Schizosaccharomyces pombe: one gene and its partners. Changing the gene in region 1 together with any one later gene gives a genetic interaction. Each region holds a gene or a part of one and is shown in the gene's direction. Other genes may lie near its edges. The genes, in order: cdc1, dna2 and cid1.

The links.
Region 2: of cdc1 (region 1) and dna2, extra expression of one rescues a mutant of the other (dosage rescue), as found in Schizosaccharomyces pombe (one study listed by BioGRID).
Region 3: of cdc1 (region 1) and cid1, extra expression of one rescues a mutant of the other (dosage rescue), as found in Schizosaccharomyces pombe (one study listed by BioGRID).

What each region holds. Positions count from the first base shown.
Region 1 is NC_003424.3:4,012,271-4,017,057, forward strand, and holds cdc1 (DNA polymerase delta small subunit Cdc1), read left to right. Parts: upstream 1-2,779; coding exon 2,780-3,920; exon of another isoform or gene 3,921-3,969; coding exon 3,970-4,217; 3' UTR 4,218-4,287; downstream 4,288-4,787. Other genes in the region: SPOM_SPAC27E2.14 (uncharacterized protein), read right to left, coding at 252-341, 393-407; msm1 (methionine--tRNA (Met) ligase), read right to left, coding at 4,308-4,787.
Region 2 is NC_003423.3:3,591,161-3,599,108, reverse strand, and holds dna2 (DNA replication endonuclease-helicase Dna2), read left to right. Parts: upstream 1-2,152; 5' UTR 2,153-2,416; coding exon 2,417-2,774; exon of another isoform or gene 2,775-2,819; coding exon 2,820-5,613; intron 5,614-5,661; coding exon 5,662-6,376; exon of another isoform or gene 6,377-6,398; intron 6,399-6,423; coding exon 6,424-6,750; 3' UTR 6,751-6,818; downstream 6,819-7,948. Other genes in the region: cell wall alpha-1,3-glucan synthase Mok13, read right to left, coding at 1-1,141, 1,182-1,538; kae1 (EKC/KEOPS complex N(6)-L-threonylcarbamoyladenine synthase subunit), read right to left, coding at 6,863-7,322, 7,363-7,943. UniProt on the Schizosaccharomyces pombe protein: Key enzyme involved in DNA replication and DNA repair.
Region 3 is NC_003424.3:5,203,881-5,208,922, forward strand, and holds cid1 (terminal uridylyltransferase Cid1), read left to right. Parts: upstream 1-2,699; 5' UTR 2,700-2,832; coding exon 2,833-3,076; intron 3,077-3,180; coding exon 3,181-3,321; intron 3,322-3,422; coding exon 3,423-4,255; 3' UTR 4,256-4,542; downstream 4,543-5,042. Other genes in the region: protein tyrosine phosphatase Pyp2, read left to right, coding at 1-1,078; protein Emc10, read right to left, coding at 1,584-2,255; ptr1 (E3 ubiquitin-protein ligase), read left to right, coding at 4,896-5,042. UniProt on the Schizosaccharomyces pombe protein: Cytoplasmic uridylyltransferase that mediates the terminal uridylation of mRNAs with short poly(A) tails such as such as act1, hcn1 and urg1 mRNAs, hence facilitating global mRNA decay. Uridylates the 3' ends of actin mRNAs upon S-phase arrest.

The sequences.
Region 1 (4,787 bases):
AAAAAGACAACTAAAGAACGAGGATCAAATACGGTACTGCGCTACATCTCATAGCCGAGGTATTCTAAATAGATGCCAGTTAAGGTAAAATAAGCTTCCAAAAATGCAACTTAAAAAAGAATAGATTGTTGAAATGAAAAGTATACTTCTACAAAAAGGATGTTGGGAATAATTCTGTCATACCATACCGTGAATGTCGCAGAATGTTTCAATTTCAGTAGCACTGGCATTTTATCTTTTCTGACTTATTTTCAGTCCGGCTGTTCCCTTCTCTTTTGGTGTCCCTGTTGTCTTGGACAATTTGTCACCCCAAGGACCCTTGTACTTGGTTGTTTAAACAACTAGCTCGTTAGATTGGAATTTGCTTTTCGGGAATTCTGGGACTTGCTTACTCTCCGTAACCTCATTTCTTTTCTCCTGTCTCTTGCATTTCACACACCAATCCAAACAAGTTCAGCGTGAGGACTGCTTTAACATCCGTGATCGAGCCTAGACGGTTGTCCCAATGTTTAACAAGGAGCTCGATGTACTTTTTTATTTGGTCCGTTGACTTTCCGCAAACATGCAGTGAGAGAATACGGAAGTGAAGAGAATTTCGGTAATGTATCGCACGCACATATAGGAACAAGAACAATTCATATCCATCTATGTCTCTTCCGGTTTATCTGAATGATTTGTTGCTTTCTATTAATTCGTTAACCAAGCAACCACGAGGCCCCATCATTCTGCCAAATTGACTTTCACAATCATTGCACAACTATTGCTTCAAGCTCCCTACAAGGTATCCAGTGAGTATCAATATTTTAGCAGCATCGATTTGTTACTTACTGTTTGGAAAAAAATCGGGGCAGATGAGCACAAACAAAAAGCAACAAAACTCTGAAATTTTTATATAAAACATGGATTCTCAAACTCCGATCCCACAAAATCCCTCTACTGCTTTAGTTTAACCTCAGGGGAAGCGGAAACCGACAACTGTCCGCAGAACCGTTATTGGCTCGTTTGTTCCAAACTCTAGCAGTGCGAAAGTGAAATTTTTACAGTATGCAGGCAGGTCCTTCTTGCAAGACACTATAAAGTAAAAGTTTTTTAAACAATTCGACATTCCGGCGAATGTGAAAATGTAACTGTGTGAAATGTTGACTATACAAGTGCATTAAGCAAAAGATCTCATCGTAATTTTCGATCTTCAATTTATCAAACTTTCAACCGTTTTTAAACCGTATGACCTTTTAATACGTAAACAGTTTCTCATTTTTTTTATGTTTTACTGCATTAATCACACACAATAAGATTTTATTTCCATTTCATTCAAGTTGCCAAGTTATTTCTATTTAGTATATTAACAACTAAAACACAACTGGCTGGCTATGCAAGTAATTATTATTCTCTAACATAGAGATTCTTATTTTTTTTGGTACACAAGTTTATGAGTCGTTAAAACCTTTTTAAATCGTGCAACATTGATTCATCTCAGTATACTCGATTATCCCTGTGTTCGATATCCCGCAGCTGTAGCCGATACTGAATGTTAACAGTCCACAGTCTATTTATAGCTAGCTCTCTGATATCGGACAACAGGCAATACCGCTTCATTGACCTCTCGTGACAAGCGGCTTTTTTATAAAGGATGTATTGATATCTTTGAAGAAGAAGAAAATCGGCAAGTTTTTCATTTTACTTTAAACATTTGAATTTGGTTTTGCTATTCTTGCTTTTCCTTCTACAATACTTTTCCATATGGGGTAATAGTGTGACCGATCAACATTGCGTTATTTAATATTCAGATTTCAACGGAATAAAATAAAACCTCAATTTAAATTAATGTAGTTTTGATATACATCTTTAATAAGTAATATAGTAAGATACAGAAATCACCTTAACCATTTCTAGGGCACTATGTTGGCCTACCTTTCCTCCTATTAATTAACATAATGTTATTAATTTACAATCATCAAATAAATCGAAAACCCACTTTTTATGCTATAGGAAAGGGTTTGTAGTTCATTTACTTCGTTGGGGAATTTGCTTCTTTTACTTTTGTGTGATAAAACTCGATAGACTAAATATATGGATTCATCATGATTGTTCAAGGTTGAGAAAAATGTTAATTGTATGAAACGAAATAAACCCACATGATGTTTGTTCATCCTCAATTAGTAAACATTCACCTTTATTGAGCTTCTTTCTCTTTTCGTCAAGTTTACCTCTTTGTTTACATTTAAAAAAAGATGTTCTTCAAACACTTTATTGTTGTAGGTAACAACAGCTAGTCATGTTAGGAACCACGACTTTCTCATATACAACGTATTCTTACTTGTTGATCTGCTGCATCCAACTCCTTTGCTTATTCGAACCTTCTAAACCTGGTTCCATTCCATGAAATTGATTCCCCTTAACCTTGCATAGCACACCTTTGAAGTTCCTTACTCTTTACATATGCTGCTTGTGTAAATTAGTCAATAACATTTAAAGAACTGATTTTATTGAAAAAACAACAAAAGCGTTATTATATTTATTCCTCTTTTTTTTAAACAGGTGTTTTGGGGCCGTTCATAGGTTTTTTGGGAAATCATATAAATATATATATATATATATATATATTTTTTTCCGCACATTTACTTGCAATACTCGCTCGTTTTAGTAATTGCATGAATCGTAGACAACTCTTCACTCTCCATTGTTGTGAAATTTTTCGTGGAGCATCTCGATTTAATATCCTGACTACTCCTTTGGTAAGTGTTTAACTTACCTAACTGTATATATTTACAAAATAATCATGGTTGAAGTCAGACATTCAATTCCTTGTGAAGAAACTAAACGCTTGGAGCTTAGTTTAAGTCAGCAAACGTATAGTCAACAGTACGCCAGCATCTATTTCGCCCGACTTACCGCTCTTCGACCCAGAATCACAGAAGCCGCTTCAAAAAAATGGCCGGATAAACAGCGATTGGAACGCGTTTTAGATGTTAAGTCAGATGAAGACTGTTGGGTTGTCGCTACCGCTTATATGACTACAGCTCTTAAGCCAAACGTTATGAACGATGTCACACAACTTCATACAATTGTCACCACTACTGAAGAATCTCCGTATGTTAGCCCAGAAGATGCTGCTTCAGGTGATATAGAATATGCTCTTGAGGATGACTATGGCCGTATAGATTGTAGCGGAAGCTTTTTGTATGACGCTGGCGTTGTTACAGGAGTTGTTCTTGCAGTTTTGGGCCATGAAGATGAACAAGGTCGTTTCGTTGTCGTTGACGTTTGTTTTCCAGGCATCTTCTCTCATTCCATTCCAATGACTACAGATGAATCGCAAGCTCAACCAGAGTACATTGCGGCAGTCAGTGGCTTAGGTCTCTCAAATGACGGCATAGAAGGCATTCAAGTTCATCAGCTTGTAGATTTCCTAAGAGGAACACTTCCACATGTCTCTTCCTTTTCCCCTTCCTCCATCAAAAGGCTAATTATTCTCGGAAATTGCTTAGCACCTTCTATAGAAATTGCCGACTCCGCTTCTGCGTCCGTGCCCATTGGCAAGAAAAAAGTAAAAAGATATGGCTATGACACGTCTGCTTACAATCCAAATCCCACCTTCCAACTAGATAATTTTCTTGATCAAGTGTGTTCCAGCATAGATGTCACTTTAATGCCTGGTCCTTATGATTACAGTTCAACTATCCTTCCTCAACAGCCTTTGCATCCCGCTTTACTTACTAAATCAAAAGTTTGGTTGGGATCTTCTTTACAAACAGTTACGAATCCCACTTGGCTTTCTCTTGGCAATCATTTTGTGTTGGCTACTAGCGGCCAAAACATTAATGATCTCCGAAAATATCATCCCAAAAAATCTTCACTTCAATGCATGGAAAACACTTTACTATGGAATCATATCACACCTACCAGCCCTGATACCTTATGTAAGTAATCTGTACATTTTTCAAACGATATATTTGCTAATGATTTTAGGGTGCTATCCTTTCACCGACAAAGATACATTTGTAATGGAGGAAATGCCTGATCTATATCTTTGTGGTAATCAACCGAAATTTGGCTGCAAAACAGTCATTAATGAGGGAAACAGAATACAATTGGTTTCCGTTCCCGAATTTCGTAAGACTGGTGTACTTGTTCTCATAAATATGCATACGCTCAACGTAGAAATTATTCAATTCCGCCCCATGTCAGTCAAAGCAGAGACTCCAATTACTTCTTAATGCAAAATATCTTGAATATTTAATCATGTATTTATTAAATAAATAAGTTTTTTCTTACTGTTGTCATCATAATTATCTGATCTACACGTCTCATTGAGTTCTTTTGTCAAACAAATGAGAATTATTACCACTGTGGAACGTGAACTCCGTAGGTTCAAAAACGTTAGTTGCATTCTGTAGGGAGCGCTGGTTTTTAGGAATTCCTAATTGGTCTAATAACTCAGTCGACTTGGTTGGCATTATAGGTTGTAGGAGAATTCCGCTAATGCGTAGGCTGTGAGCTACTAACATTAAAGTGTCAATCTTTTCTTGAGAATCATCTGATAATTTCCAAGGTTCTTTCAATTGAAAAAGCTTAGTGACTCTTCTTAAAACAGACTGAACAAGATTAATAACCTCGTAAACACACCCACCATCTATGCTTTGCGCGCAAACAACAGGAAGTTCTATAAGTTCGTGTACAATATCTTCGTATTCTGTAAAATCATCCTTTTTATGCCATTGCTTCTGTATTTCATTGGAAATGAACAGTTTCTTCGATTGCAATCGAGAAAGTAGCACACCTAAAGA
Region 2 (7,948 bases), on another chromosome or scaffold:
TATTATCCAGTACATAGAATCCTTGTTCATCACCATAATAAATGGAGGGTGCTCCTGGAAAAAGAAAGTACGTTATCATGGTTCCTAATAGCAAACGTTCTAATCCAAATTCAATTGCTGACCATCTAAAAACATCATGGTTAGTAATCCCTAGCATGTGACGCGGGTCAACTTTATGAGTGTTAGGATTATAAAAGTCTTCATTAACTGCCATAGCATTCCACAAATCTGTAAAATCTACGGGAAGATCATGACCAACTTGCAGATCTCCGTCCATTTGCAGAAATCTGGTCATGGCACGGTAGAGTGAATAGTGAAAAGCAGAAGCATCTAGGGCATTCGCTTTAGGTTCCCTCAGAAAGTAGTTTTCTTTAAGGGATGATGAATTAAGTGAAGTAAGTATCGACGGAGGACGTTGATCTGGTTGACGACCACGACCGTAATAAATTGAGCCATAACTTGAAGAACCAGTTACTTCACCAGGTATAAAAAAATTCTTTTTATTAAACGTTGCTGCACACCCCCTCACAGAATGAGCCCATGAAGCAAGAAAATCAACTGTAATTTGAGTAGCTTTATCAATACGAAAACCATCCACATCTAACATGGCAATGATCATACATGCGAAGTGTTTTAACTTTTCTGAAACCGATGGCCTCCATTCTCTAAGTCTATCTTGGACAGAAGCAAACTTTGAAAGCTGACGTTCCCAATCAGGATGAGTACCAAAGGCTTCTGTATCGCCATACTGATCGAAATCTGAATCATAACAACCAACATAATCAATCACAACAGGCGCGCCATCTTCACCCCAAAATCTGGGAAGCTCACACTTTGGGTCATATTTATTTGTGAAATTCCAGTCTGGATAAATGACGTTGCTTTTCCACACCGCCTCATGTTCAAATAAAGAAAATGGAGTAGTACTGTTCAGATACTTCCGAAACCCTATAAGATCTCCCAACGTAGAAATTGTAAGGTCCAGAACTAAATAAAACCCTCTACGATGGATTTCTTCTATCGTGTCACGCCATTGTGCAATTGTTCCAGAATGGTGATCGAGGATGGTGTAGTCCAGTGGTGAGTACTGATCAGCACCCCATGGCTGATTTAAAAATGGTGTACCGGCGATGTAGATAACCTTATTCGTTAACGAGCATAAAAGCATAACTCTATCTTACCTTTATTCCCATAATCTCCAAATAATCTAGTGAGTCTTTCAGGCCTATTATATCCCCTCCGTTTCGAAAACCAGTTTCATAAATATCATACTCATAAATAGTATTGTTAGCTTCATTATTTCTAGGATCACCATCTTTCCATTTATCCAAAATAACTGTGTAAAATGGCACTTGCCAATCATCTGGACTGGGATGGTATTGATGGTTTTCCCATTTTCCCCAATAATCTAGAGGATCGGTAGCTGATTGATTTTGGTTTAAATTCCATAAAGATTCTCTTTCATCATATTTAGCAGTAAAGACCAACCTTGGTATACTTAATATCAAATTCAAGACGAGAATATTCTTATTTCGCATCGTTTATGGTATTTCCTCAATTGACGTGAAGAAGCTGCCCTGTTCAAAATAGTTTTATTAAAATTAATGCGATCGTTAATGCTATTATATATGAATTTATCAAGATTTTTCCCGATTCAAATGATGGTTGCTTCTAAATACGAGAAGAGTACAATAACCAATAAGTCAACTTTTTGGAATGTAAACAAACAAACGAACCTAAAAAATTTATATTAATTTTTGCTTACACATGCATTTCTATTTTAAAAATAAATTTTAAAAAAATTAAGAAGGAATTTTATTTTATAATTAAATCGCAGTTTGCGCTTTTGTATGCAAACGGTCATTCAGTTAATAAGCTTATACTTAAGAAGAGTTGAAGCGAATTTCGATACAGATAATATTTATTAATTATGTATTAAGGAAAATCAATAATTTTGCTTTCATCGGACTTGGTTTTAGTTCAATTTACCTGTGAACGACTTCACAAGGTTCATTGTAAAGATTACTGGCACATATTCATGTGTAATTTTATTTAAAATCAATCGAGAACATGACTGCGGAAAACCTAAGGAAATAAATTAACTAGCATTGTTGGCGTTAGGGAACCGAGTATCTATAAAACTGAAACCTCCGACAACCATACTCCAAATATCTATTTTACGAGCATTGCCTATTATTTTGAGAATAAGCGCAGTCGTTAAGGCTTTATTTTAATTTATTTCTATTTATTTTTTCTTTGCATTTACATCGTTGATCATCATTCTTTTTCACGTGTTTTAGTCGTTCTTTTCAAAGCTCATTACCTGGTTGAATTTTAGCCTGGTTATTTGAGTATAATTATAACAAACTTTTTTATTTTTTAATGTTTATTGCCTTCCTTTTTTTGTAAATTAATAATGTTCAACGACCAGTCGAAAACAACTTCATCTGTGAAAGGTATATGTGCCACTACTGACAACAATCATGGTAATTTAAAAAAAACTAATTCAACTCCTTTCAGGAAAAACTATTTGCTAAATGGGAGAACTAAATTGAAGCTGGAAAATTTTGCGTACAATGCATCTACAGAAATTAGTTCACCTAAAATCTCTGAAAAAAAGCATTCTTCATTACCAATTAAACGAAAGAATACTTTTAATGAATCCTCAACATCTTTTTCCCCATTTACTAAAGCTCATAAAGAAATTACTGACGATTTAAAGCCTGACAAATCTTTCACGCGGAAATCTGACTTGAATAGCCAAGACATGCCAGGTATGATTTTTCTTGTATTCAGACGTGTATTTTAACTTTTAGAAGTATGTTTTCAAGAAACTTCGAAGGATTTGTGTCGTAGCTCTTCTACTCAACATTTGCTGGATCATCAAACGACGGACTCAACGATTATAGATATGAAACCAGTGTCAACGAACTCAAAATCTGATGTGTTTACATTATATACGGATGAAACTGTCCTATTACGACGATGTGCTTCAGATAATAAGCCACTGATAAACAATAATTTGTCGAGTTCAAATGTTTCGGAAAACCAGAGTAGAAGCTTCGGATCGTATGATGAAGTAAAAAACCAAGGAAATAACCTGCATAAAGTCCCTAGCTTGGTGTCTATAATTCGTAATGCAAGATCATCTGAGCAATCAAGAATTGCTGCAAATTCCAGTTGTCTTCTCAAAGGATCAGATACCGAAATTGACGAGGATGATTTTGCCTTAGAAGCTGAAGATCTGGCAGCATTAGATTCCCTTGAACGCCAATACTCACAATTACCTAATTCTACAGTAACTGCTTCTGCAAAGGACATAGAAAAGACAGCTAAGGTCAACCATGTGGGAGGTGATTTGCAATCTTATTGTTCAGCAACAAAAGCATCTGATGCTACAATAAATGAAGAACCTGTGAACCTTGCTCTTGATAAAGCTTGTAATTCATTGCCGGATATCAATAGCGACTTTATCGATGATTGGGATGATTCGTGTGATGGATGCACTCCTGGTGAATTGTGCGAGTTTTCCTCCGAATACACAGTATTAGAAGTTCACGAAGACTTCATTTTTCATGAAGGGAATCACTTTCGACAATTAAAGTTGATTTTGGAAGCAAATGATATACTGCATCAGTTATTTTTACGCGGTGATTGGACTGAGACTAGTATTTTTGTAGGGGATTCTATCCGTGTTGAAGCTACATTTGACAAAGATAATACCGCTATCGTTGACAACGATAAAGGACTTATTATCATACATCCGAAAATTTTAATGTCTGCTACGGCAGTGGCCAGCTCTTTTCCTTGTTTGAGGAAAGCCGTAATATCTGACAGGGTTGGCATTTATGGACCTCCTACAAAAGCTATGGTAACTGGAAACATTTTACATGATTTTTTTCAACACGCATTATACAGAGGTATTGATGCCCTTGAAAATGTTGATATCAACCTTGAAACATCAATAAAAACATACATCTCTGATATCTATTTTGCTGATTTGTCGCTCGATGAAATTCGAGAGGAACTTGATGCGAGGCTTCCCCTTCTTAAATCTATTGTTGAAAGATATTTAATAAGTAAAAAAAATGACAACAACAATGAAAGTATTCACATTTCAAGGCTTCTCGATATTGAGGAATCCATATGGTCACCCAGATTTGGATTAAAAGGTAATATCGATGCTACAGTTGAGGTGGTTTTAACTGAAAAACCTGAGTCTTCGTCAACCCTCACACTTCCGTTAGAGCTTAAAACTGGCCGATATGTCGACAATATTAGCCATTTTGCTCAAAGTTTGCTTTATACATTACTCATTTCAGATCGTTATGGTATCAATACTAATCAGGCATTATTATGCTATTTGGAAAATAGTACTATCAAGAATTTGGTTGCAAGTAACTCCCAACTTCGAGGGTTGATCATGACAAGAAATTCTCTTGCACAGCATAACTTTAGGCGCAGCCTTCCTGAAATGATTTCGAACCGAAAAATTTGCGATCACTGCAGTTTAGTTTCTGAATGTTTGTTCTTTCAAAAGATGAGTGATAAAGGAGTAGCTAATAGTAACGGCTTGACTGAGTCATGGAATGAATGGATGCGCGAAGTAAAAGATGAGGATCTTGAATTTTATAAGAAGTGGGAGAAGTTATTAAATCAAGAGGAACGACTCTTACTACTAAAAAGAGGCGATGTGTTGACTTTTGATACAGAAGAGCTAGAAGCTTATGGAAAAACTCTGTATCCTTTATACATTACTAAAGAGGATATCGTTTGTTTAGAAATTGATGACAGGGTTTTTCATTACAAATTCGCTTTTTTAAATGACAATGGTTATCCTCGAAATTTCTTGCACTCAGGCTTCAGCGTTGGTGAACGAGTATTTATTTCTGATGAACATGGACACTGGTCACTAGCTAAAGGACACATAGTCCATATTCAAGATTCATGTATTGAAGTACGAACTCGTCATCGACTTCATATTCCATGGCTAAAGATGCCTAACTTTGATTTCAAAAAAAACCAGGTATTTTTTGGTAACTATGAAGATTCCAAATTGTCATTTATCGGAAGTAACCATACGAGGTACAGAATTGATAAGGACGAATTTTCGAGCGGAATTGCATCAATAAGAGGTACCTTGATGTCTTCTGTATTACCAGATGCTCCCTTAATTATAAGGGACATGATTATCCGTTTGAAGCCTCCAAAATTTTGTAATAGTGCATTAATCGATCCTGAATTTTTGAAATGTTTAAACGAAGATCAAATTACAGCTTTAAAGAAATGCCACGCTGCAGAACATTATAGTTTGATACTCGGAATGCCTGGAACGGGGAAAACCACTACAATTTCTAGCTTAATCAGATCATTGCTTGCCAAAAAGAAGAAAATACTTCTTACTTCTTTTACGCATTTAGCAGTTGATAACATTTTAATTAAACTGAAGGGTTGTGATAGCACAATCGTCCGCTTAGGATCTCCTCATAAAATCCATCCCCTAGTAAAAGAATTTTGTTTGACTGAAGGAACGACGTTTGACGACTTAGCGTCATTAAAACATTTTTACGAAGACCCCCAAATAGTTGCATGCTCTTCTCTAGGGGTATATCAGTAAGTAATTGAAAGCGACGGCAATGAACAAACTACTAACAACATTAGTTCCATTTTCAATAAAAGAAAATTCGATTATTGTATAATTGATGAGGCATCCCAAATACCTCTACCAATTTGCTTAGGCCCTTTGCAGCTTGCTGAAAAATTTGTTTTAGTTGGTGATCATTATCAACTTCCTCCTTTAGTAAAAAATTCAAGAACATCTAAGGATGGTTTGTCGCTCAGTCTATTTAAATTACTATCAGAAAAGCATCCTGAAGCCGTTACCACTTTAAGACTACAATATCGTATGAATGAAGACATTAATTCATTATCTAGTGAACTTATTTATGGCGGCAATTTGGTGTGTGGGTCCAAGACGATATCCCAAAAAAAATTAATTTTGCCAAAAGCTCATCTAAGTGATGGTTTACCCGATTCGTCGTCTAGCCTACATTGGGTCAACAAGTTAATCAATCCTAGTCATTCAGTCATATTTTTTAATACCGATGATATTCTGGGAGTTGAATCAAAAACTAATAATATTCTAGAAAATCATACTGAAGCTTTTTTGATAGAACAAGCAGTTTCCTCCTTCTTGGAACGAGGCGTTAAGCAAAGTTCTATCGGGATAATTTCAATTTACAAAAGTCAGGTGGAGTTGCTTTCTAAGAATCTTAAATCATTCACTGAAATAGAAATTAACACTGTCGATCGTTATCAAGGAAGAGACAAGGACATCATTTTAATATCTTTTGTGAGATCCAACAGTAAAAACTTAGTGAGTATTGAACCAATTATTTACACAACTGCTAACCATTTATTTAGGTTGGAGAATTGCTACGCGATTGGCATCGTTTGAACGTTGCTTTAAGCAGGGCGAAAGTGAAATGTATTATGTTTGGCTCGTTATCTACTCTTTCGTCTTCAAATATAGTTTCTCATTTATTGAAATTATTAGAAAAAAACAAATGGATTTTCACGTTAAATGAGAATGATATAGCAACGAAATTTGACGAGAATAGCTCTCCAATTAAGGATTGTTCTCAGGTTGCAACGACAAATAATGCTAAAGTTATTATTAGAAAGAACCAAAGGTTTTTTAATAGTGACAATTTATGTGAAAAAGCTATTTTACCTCAACTGGAATTTTGATAATCTACTTCAAAAAACTCAATATTTTACTGGATACGATCTTCATAATGAAGAATGTATATATAAATGCCTAAAATAAAATTCATCTGATCCTTGTTCATGAATATAAGTATTAATCCCTCCATGATATATAAACATCGTCAGTACGATATCTTTGAGTAATCGTCGATTCTGCGACGGCACATCGGTCCCCGGTTTTATAAGCCAACAACCCTGCTTGGGCTATCATTATACCATTATCAATACAGAAACGTTCATCTGTAGAAAAAACATCAGCGCCTCTATCCGAACTCATTTCAGCCATCATTTGTTGGAGACGTTCATTGCATCCAACACCTCCAACAATTAAAACAGAATCAGCTCTGATATGTGCCATCGCGCGTTCTGTAATTTCAACTAGCATTGCAAAGCCAGTTTCCTGTAAAGAGTAACAAAGATCTTGCTTTGTAACAGAACTCGGATTTTTTGGGTCTAATAGCTCTGTAGCTGCCGCTTCAACCCCTGACAACAATCCGGAAAATGAACAATCCATACCTTTAACAGTATAGGGTAACTCTATAAATCTTTTGCCTCTAGGAAAAAATTAGTATAAAACATCAAAGTGAGTCTTACTTTTTTGCTTCTTGCATAATATTGTAACCAGGTGAAGGTGCATTGGACAAACCAATGATTCTGGCAAATCGATCCAAACAATTGCCTATAGCAATATCAAGCGTTTCACCAAAAATCCTATACTTCTTCTCTGAGTATGCAATTACTTGAGTGTTTCCCCCAGAAACATAAAGCACGACAGGATTTTGTGCACCCGTAATTTCACGACCCATTTCAATGTGACCAATACAATGATTAACTGCTACTAAAGGTTTCTTGTGAATTAGTGATAACATCCTAGCACAAAGAGCTACACTATTCAGAGGAGCACCGATTCCTGGCCCCTTTGTGAAACAAATGCAATCAATATCTTTAAAAGAAATTTTTGCCTCAGCAAACGCTTGCTTAATTAAAGGGATTATCCACGCACGATGATGCTTAGCAGTATCGCTGGGCAAGAATCCCTGTCCGGGAGGAGTGATATAAGTGTGTCTGACATTTGCTAATATTTTAGCCGATCCATTGGTATCATGCAAAATAATACCAACGCCTAATTTGTTTGCTGAACCCTCTAATCCAAGTGCAATTAAAGGTTTTCCCATAATTA
Region 3 (5,042 bases), 1.2 Mb from region 1:
TAAACCATCTGTTGGTTTATCAAACACACGAGATGCTCCAAAACCAGGCGGTCTAAGAAGAGCTAACAAACCGTGCTTTAATAAAGAGACCAAGGGAAGCATTTTCTCCAAGGAAAACAAAGGACCCTTTACTTGTAATCCCTGGGGTGCCAAAAAGGTTTCTCCTCCTCCTTGTGAGGTGCTTGCGGATTTAAATACTGCTTCTATTTTTTATAAGTTTAAAAGACTTGAGGAAATGGAAATGACTAGATCCCTAGCGTTTAATGACAGTAAATCTGATTGGTGCTGTTTAGCTTCCAGCCGCTCCACTTCCATTTCAAGAAAAAATCGTTACACAGATATCGTGCCCTACGATAAAACAAGAGTCCGTCTAGCCGTTCCAAAAGGATGTTCTGATTATATTAATGCTTCACATATAGACGTTGGAAATAAAAAATATATTGCCTGCCAGGCCCCTAAGCCGGGAACTCTTTTAGACTTTTGGGAAATGGTTTGGCATAACTCAGGAACAAATGGTGTTATCGTAATGCTCACAAATCTGTATGAGGCGGGAAGTGAGAAATGTTCTCAATATTGGCCAGATAACAAAGATCACGCATTATGCTTGGAAGGCGGATTACGCATATCTGTTCAAAAATATGAAACCTTTGAAGATTTGAAGGTCAACACTCATTTGTTTCGATTGGATAAACCTAATGGTCCTCCAAAGTATATACATCACTTTTGGGTGCACACGTGGTTTGACAAAACCCATCCAGATATTGAAAGCATCACGGGAATCATACGTTGTATTGATAAGGTTCCCAATGATGGACCAATGTTCGTTCACTGTTCAGCAGGCGTAGGACGCACTGGTACTTTTATTGCTGTAGACCAAATACTTCAGGTACCAAAAAACATTTTACCCAAGACGACCAATTTGGAAGATTCAAAAGATTTCATATTCAATTGTGTTAACTCGTTGAGATCACAACGGATGAAAATGGTTCAAAACTTTGAGCAATTCAAATTTCTCTACGACGTCGTGGATTATTTAAATAGCGGCGTTAACCAGGCTTCCAAGCCCTTGATGACTTAACGAAACGACTGTTCTTTAATTTTCTGTGTTTGTACACACTATGTTCTATTTATGTGAGATTGTGTAATTCCTCATTTTTTACATTATCTGACGCGAAGGTTATGTTAAAAATACTTAACCACACTCTCCGGTAATCATGTGTAATTCCTTCCTTATTGTTGTTAAAAATTGATTTTATCTCATGCGTGTAATGAATGTTTATATCTAGTTATTAATGAATCTTGTTTATGTTGGAATGGAATAATTGTTAAAGACTAAATTAGTTATGTGCACGTAGAAACTTCCTTCTTTTTTATTTTAACCTTTCCTATACGATATTTCATTACAAATGTTTGTATAGATTTTAAAGTACTATTAAGTATCGTACATCTGGCACATAGCAGTATTATTGAATGGAAATAGATGAATTAGAATATTTGTAAAGAGCACAGTAAGTAGTAGCAATAATCAAAAAATTATCGTAGCCGAGACGCAATTGTTTTAAGGCATATATATAATGACTCGTTTATTTCGCCGTATTTGCTGCCTGTTGATTTGCATTGTTACCAGACATAATTATCAGAAACAATATCGGGATGAGATATAAACCATATTTTTGGAAAAATGTCTTTTCCTCAGGTTCGGACTCTAATTCATCTTCGTCCACATTTGGAGATTCTTCGGTTTTAGAACCCTGTTTATTTCCTTGTTTTTCCTTCTGGGGTTTAGATGGACGTGATCCCTTTTTTCTGACAGCAGTAGTTAAAATTGGAATTGGAGAAGAAGGATGCAATTGCTCGACTACAGCACTTTCTGAGTCGGATGAAAAATCAAATGAGTGGACCACTTGAGTAAATTTTGCAATCTCATTGCTTTCTGATGAATCACAAAGTATGATATAGTGGTCTCTAGGTACTTTTGGAAGGGTTTTTATTTCATCAATTTTGTATTTGCTGGCGCCTGCAAGCCATGTGTTGGTAGAATCTTCGTATACTCCACATTGTACAAAATCAGAGTGAGAAAGATTACTCCAATCAATTTGTGAGTCCGAAGGACGAAATGTCATTTCTGGGATATCAATAGTACCATGTGGAAATATTTCTGTTTGCTCATTATGTGATACAGCGCAAGAAATAGGAATTTCTAATGCATGAGCAACAAAGGCTAAACTGATAAAAATCAAGCCTTGTCCTAGCATTTTTAGTAAATTTCGTAAAATCTATGAGATTAATAAAATATATTATCTTTTCCGGACGAAAATTACTTTTTGTATCTGAAAGTAGGAAGAGCGTAGTGTTTAGGTGTTAAGCTCGTCCATAATCATCAAGTGAAGCTATTTTGCTTAACTGTGACGAAGATAGCTCGCTGACATAAAAATAAACTAAATATTAGTAGTTATTGTTAGAAATATTCATGATTAAGGCTTTCAACGGATTATTTGCTAATTTTCCTTTTTCACATAAACCATTACTAGCCATACAACATTCGCTTCTTAAGTGAGAAAGAAAACATTTGGACCTTAGGATTTCTTCTTCCTAACTTTTTTCAATTACTTTACTGCTTTTTATAGCTCATTCCTCATCCATTAGCGCTGTCACCCCTACTGCTATTAAGTAACATATCAATTGGTAAAGGAGCTTTTGCCAAAAGCAAACACTGTAACTGACTTGCTTCAATTAGTAAAAGGAAGCATCAAAGACCATTAAACAGTGAATAATTACTCAAAGAGAAAGTGAATAAGTTTGCCACTTTCACCTTTTGAGCAGTAGACGAATATGAACATTTCTTCTGCACAATTTATTCCTGGTGTTCACACAGTTGAAGAGATTGAGGCAGAAATTCACAAAAATTTACATATTTCAAAAAGTTGTAGCTACCAAAAGGTCCCTAATTCGCACAAGGAATTTACGAAGTTTTGCTATGAAGTGTATAATGAGATTAAAATTAGTGACAAAGAGTTTAAAGAAAAGAGAGCGGCATTAGATACACTTCGGCTATGCCTTAAACGAATATCCCCTGGTATGTTTGAATATAAATTTAGGACTGTCTCAATTATGTAGTTAACGAGAGTGGAGACTTTACCAAATATTGATAATGTCCAATTCTAATGATATGTGACTTAGATGCTGAATTGGTAGCCTTTGGAAGTTTGGAATCTGGTTTAGCACTTAAAAATTCGGATATGGATTTGTGCGTGCTTATGGATTCGCGCGTCCAAAGTGATACAATTGCGCTCCAATTCTATGAAGAGCTTATAGCTGAAGGTAAGTATAATTATTCATTAAAAGTTATTCAGTTTAGACAAACTATCTCTGAATATTGTTTTTTTCCTTTCCAGTTGGCTCGCATAACTAACTATCGACAGGATTTGAAGGAAAATTTTTACAAAGGGCAAGAATTCCCATTATCAAATTAACATCTGATACGAAAAATGGATTTGGGGCTTCGTTTCAATGTGATATTGGATTTAACAATCGTCTAGCTATTCATAATACGCTTTTACTTTCTTCATATACAAAATTAGATGCTCGCCTAAAACCCATGGTCCTTCTTGTTAAGCATTGGGCCAAACGGAAGCAAATCAACTCTCCTTACTTTGGAACTCTTTCCAGTTATGGTTACGTCCTAATGGTTCTTTACTATCTGATTCACGTTATCAAGCCTCCCGTCTTTCCTAATTTACTGTTGTCACCTTTGAAACAAGAAAAGATAGTTGATGGATTTGACGTTGGTTTTGACGATAAACTGGAAGATATCCCTCCTTCCCAAAATTATAGCTCATTGGGAAGTTTACTTCATGGCTTTTTTAGATTTTATGCTTATAAGTTCGAGCCACGGGAAAAGGTAGTAACTTTTCGTAGACCAGACGGTTACCTCACAAAGCAAGAGAAAGGATGGACTTCAGCTACTGAACACACTGGATCGGCTGATCAAATTATAAAAGACAGGTATATTCTTGCGATTGAAGATCCTTTCGAGATTTCACATAATGTGGGTAGGACAGTTAGCAGTTCTGGATTGTATCGGATTCGAGGGGAATTTATGGCCGCTTCAAGGTTGCTCAATTCTCGCTCATATCCTATCCCTTATGATTCATTATTTGAGGAGGCCCCAATTCCGCCTCGTCGCCAGAAAAAAACGGATGAACAATCTAACAAAAAATTGTTGAATGAAACCGATGGTGACAATTCTGAGTGATTTTACAAAGAAGTCTTAAAAAGCGCATCAATATTCATTCCCCTAGATTCATAGTAATCATTCATTATTACTCTGCTTTTATTTGCTTACTTTTGAAAGCATGGAATGTTTTTATTTTTCTTTAAAAATTTTGACCTCTTGTTTCTAATACCTTTCCCCCTTTGTTTTATGTACAACCTCTTGTTAATAGTCTACTTGTTGGTGAGAAAATAGGCTCATCATAGTTAACATCAATGTCCAAAAAATTTTCATAGATCTATAATTAATAATTATTTATTGCAAATGCTAAGCTATTGTTTATATCAATTTCTTTAAATTGAACGGAAATAACCAAATATTTTTTCGTTTAGCCTCGGTAATGTGCGTAAACACATATAAAGAGTTTATCTTTTTTTCTTAATTACTATAGCGTACAGAAATTATTTTAGCTTATCAAATTTTTTCGTAAAATTCATATTGTTTCCAAATTTGTAGACGCATTGCAGCATGCTAACCATCACATTTGAACTTTTACCAAACATTCAGCTGGGTCTATTTCCCTTCTGTTCGTTGGTACAATTCATTAGAACATAATAAATTTGGCATTTTTCTCAAGGTGGGTATTTAACTATATTTCGAGATTTTGATGCTTTAAGCAAAAATGAGGATAACGAAAAGTCCTCCTAAAAATCAATATTCTCAGCCACCTCCTAGGGTTGCTGAGTTTATTAGACAAGCTCAAAATGAAGAAGTAACTTCAGACTTGGGTCTTGTCTCTCTTTGTTCAGAATTCAGAAAAAACGATTGG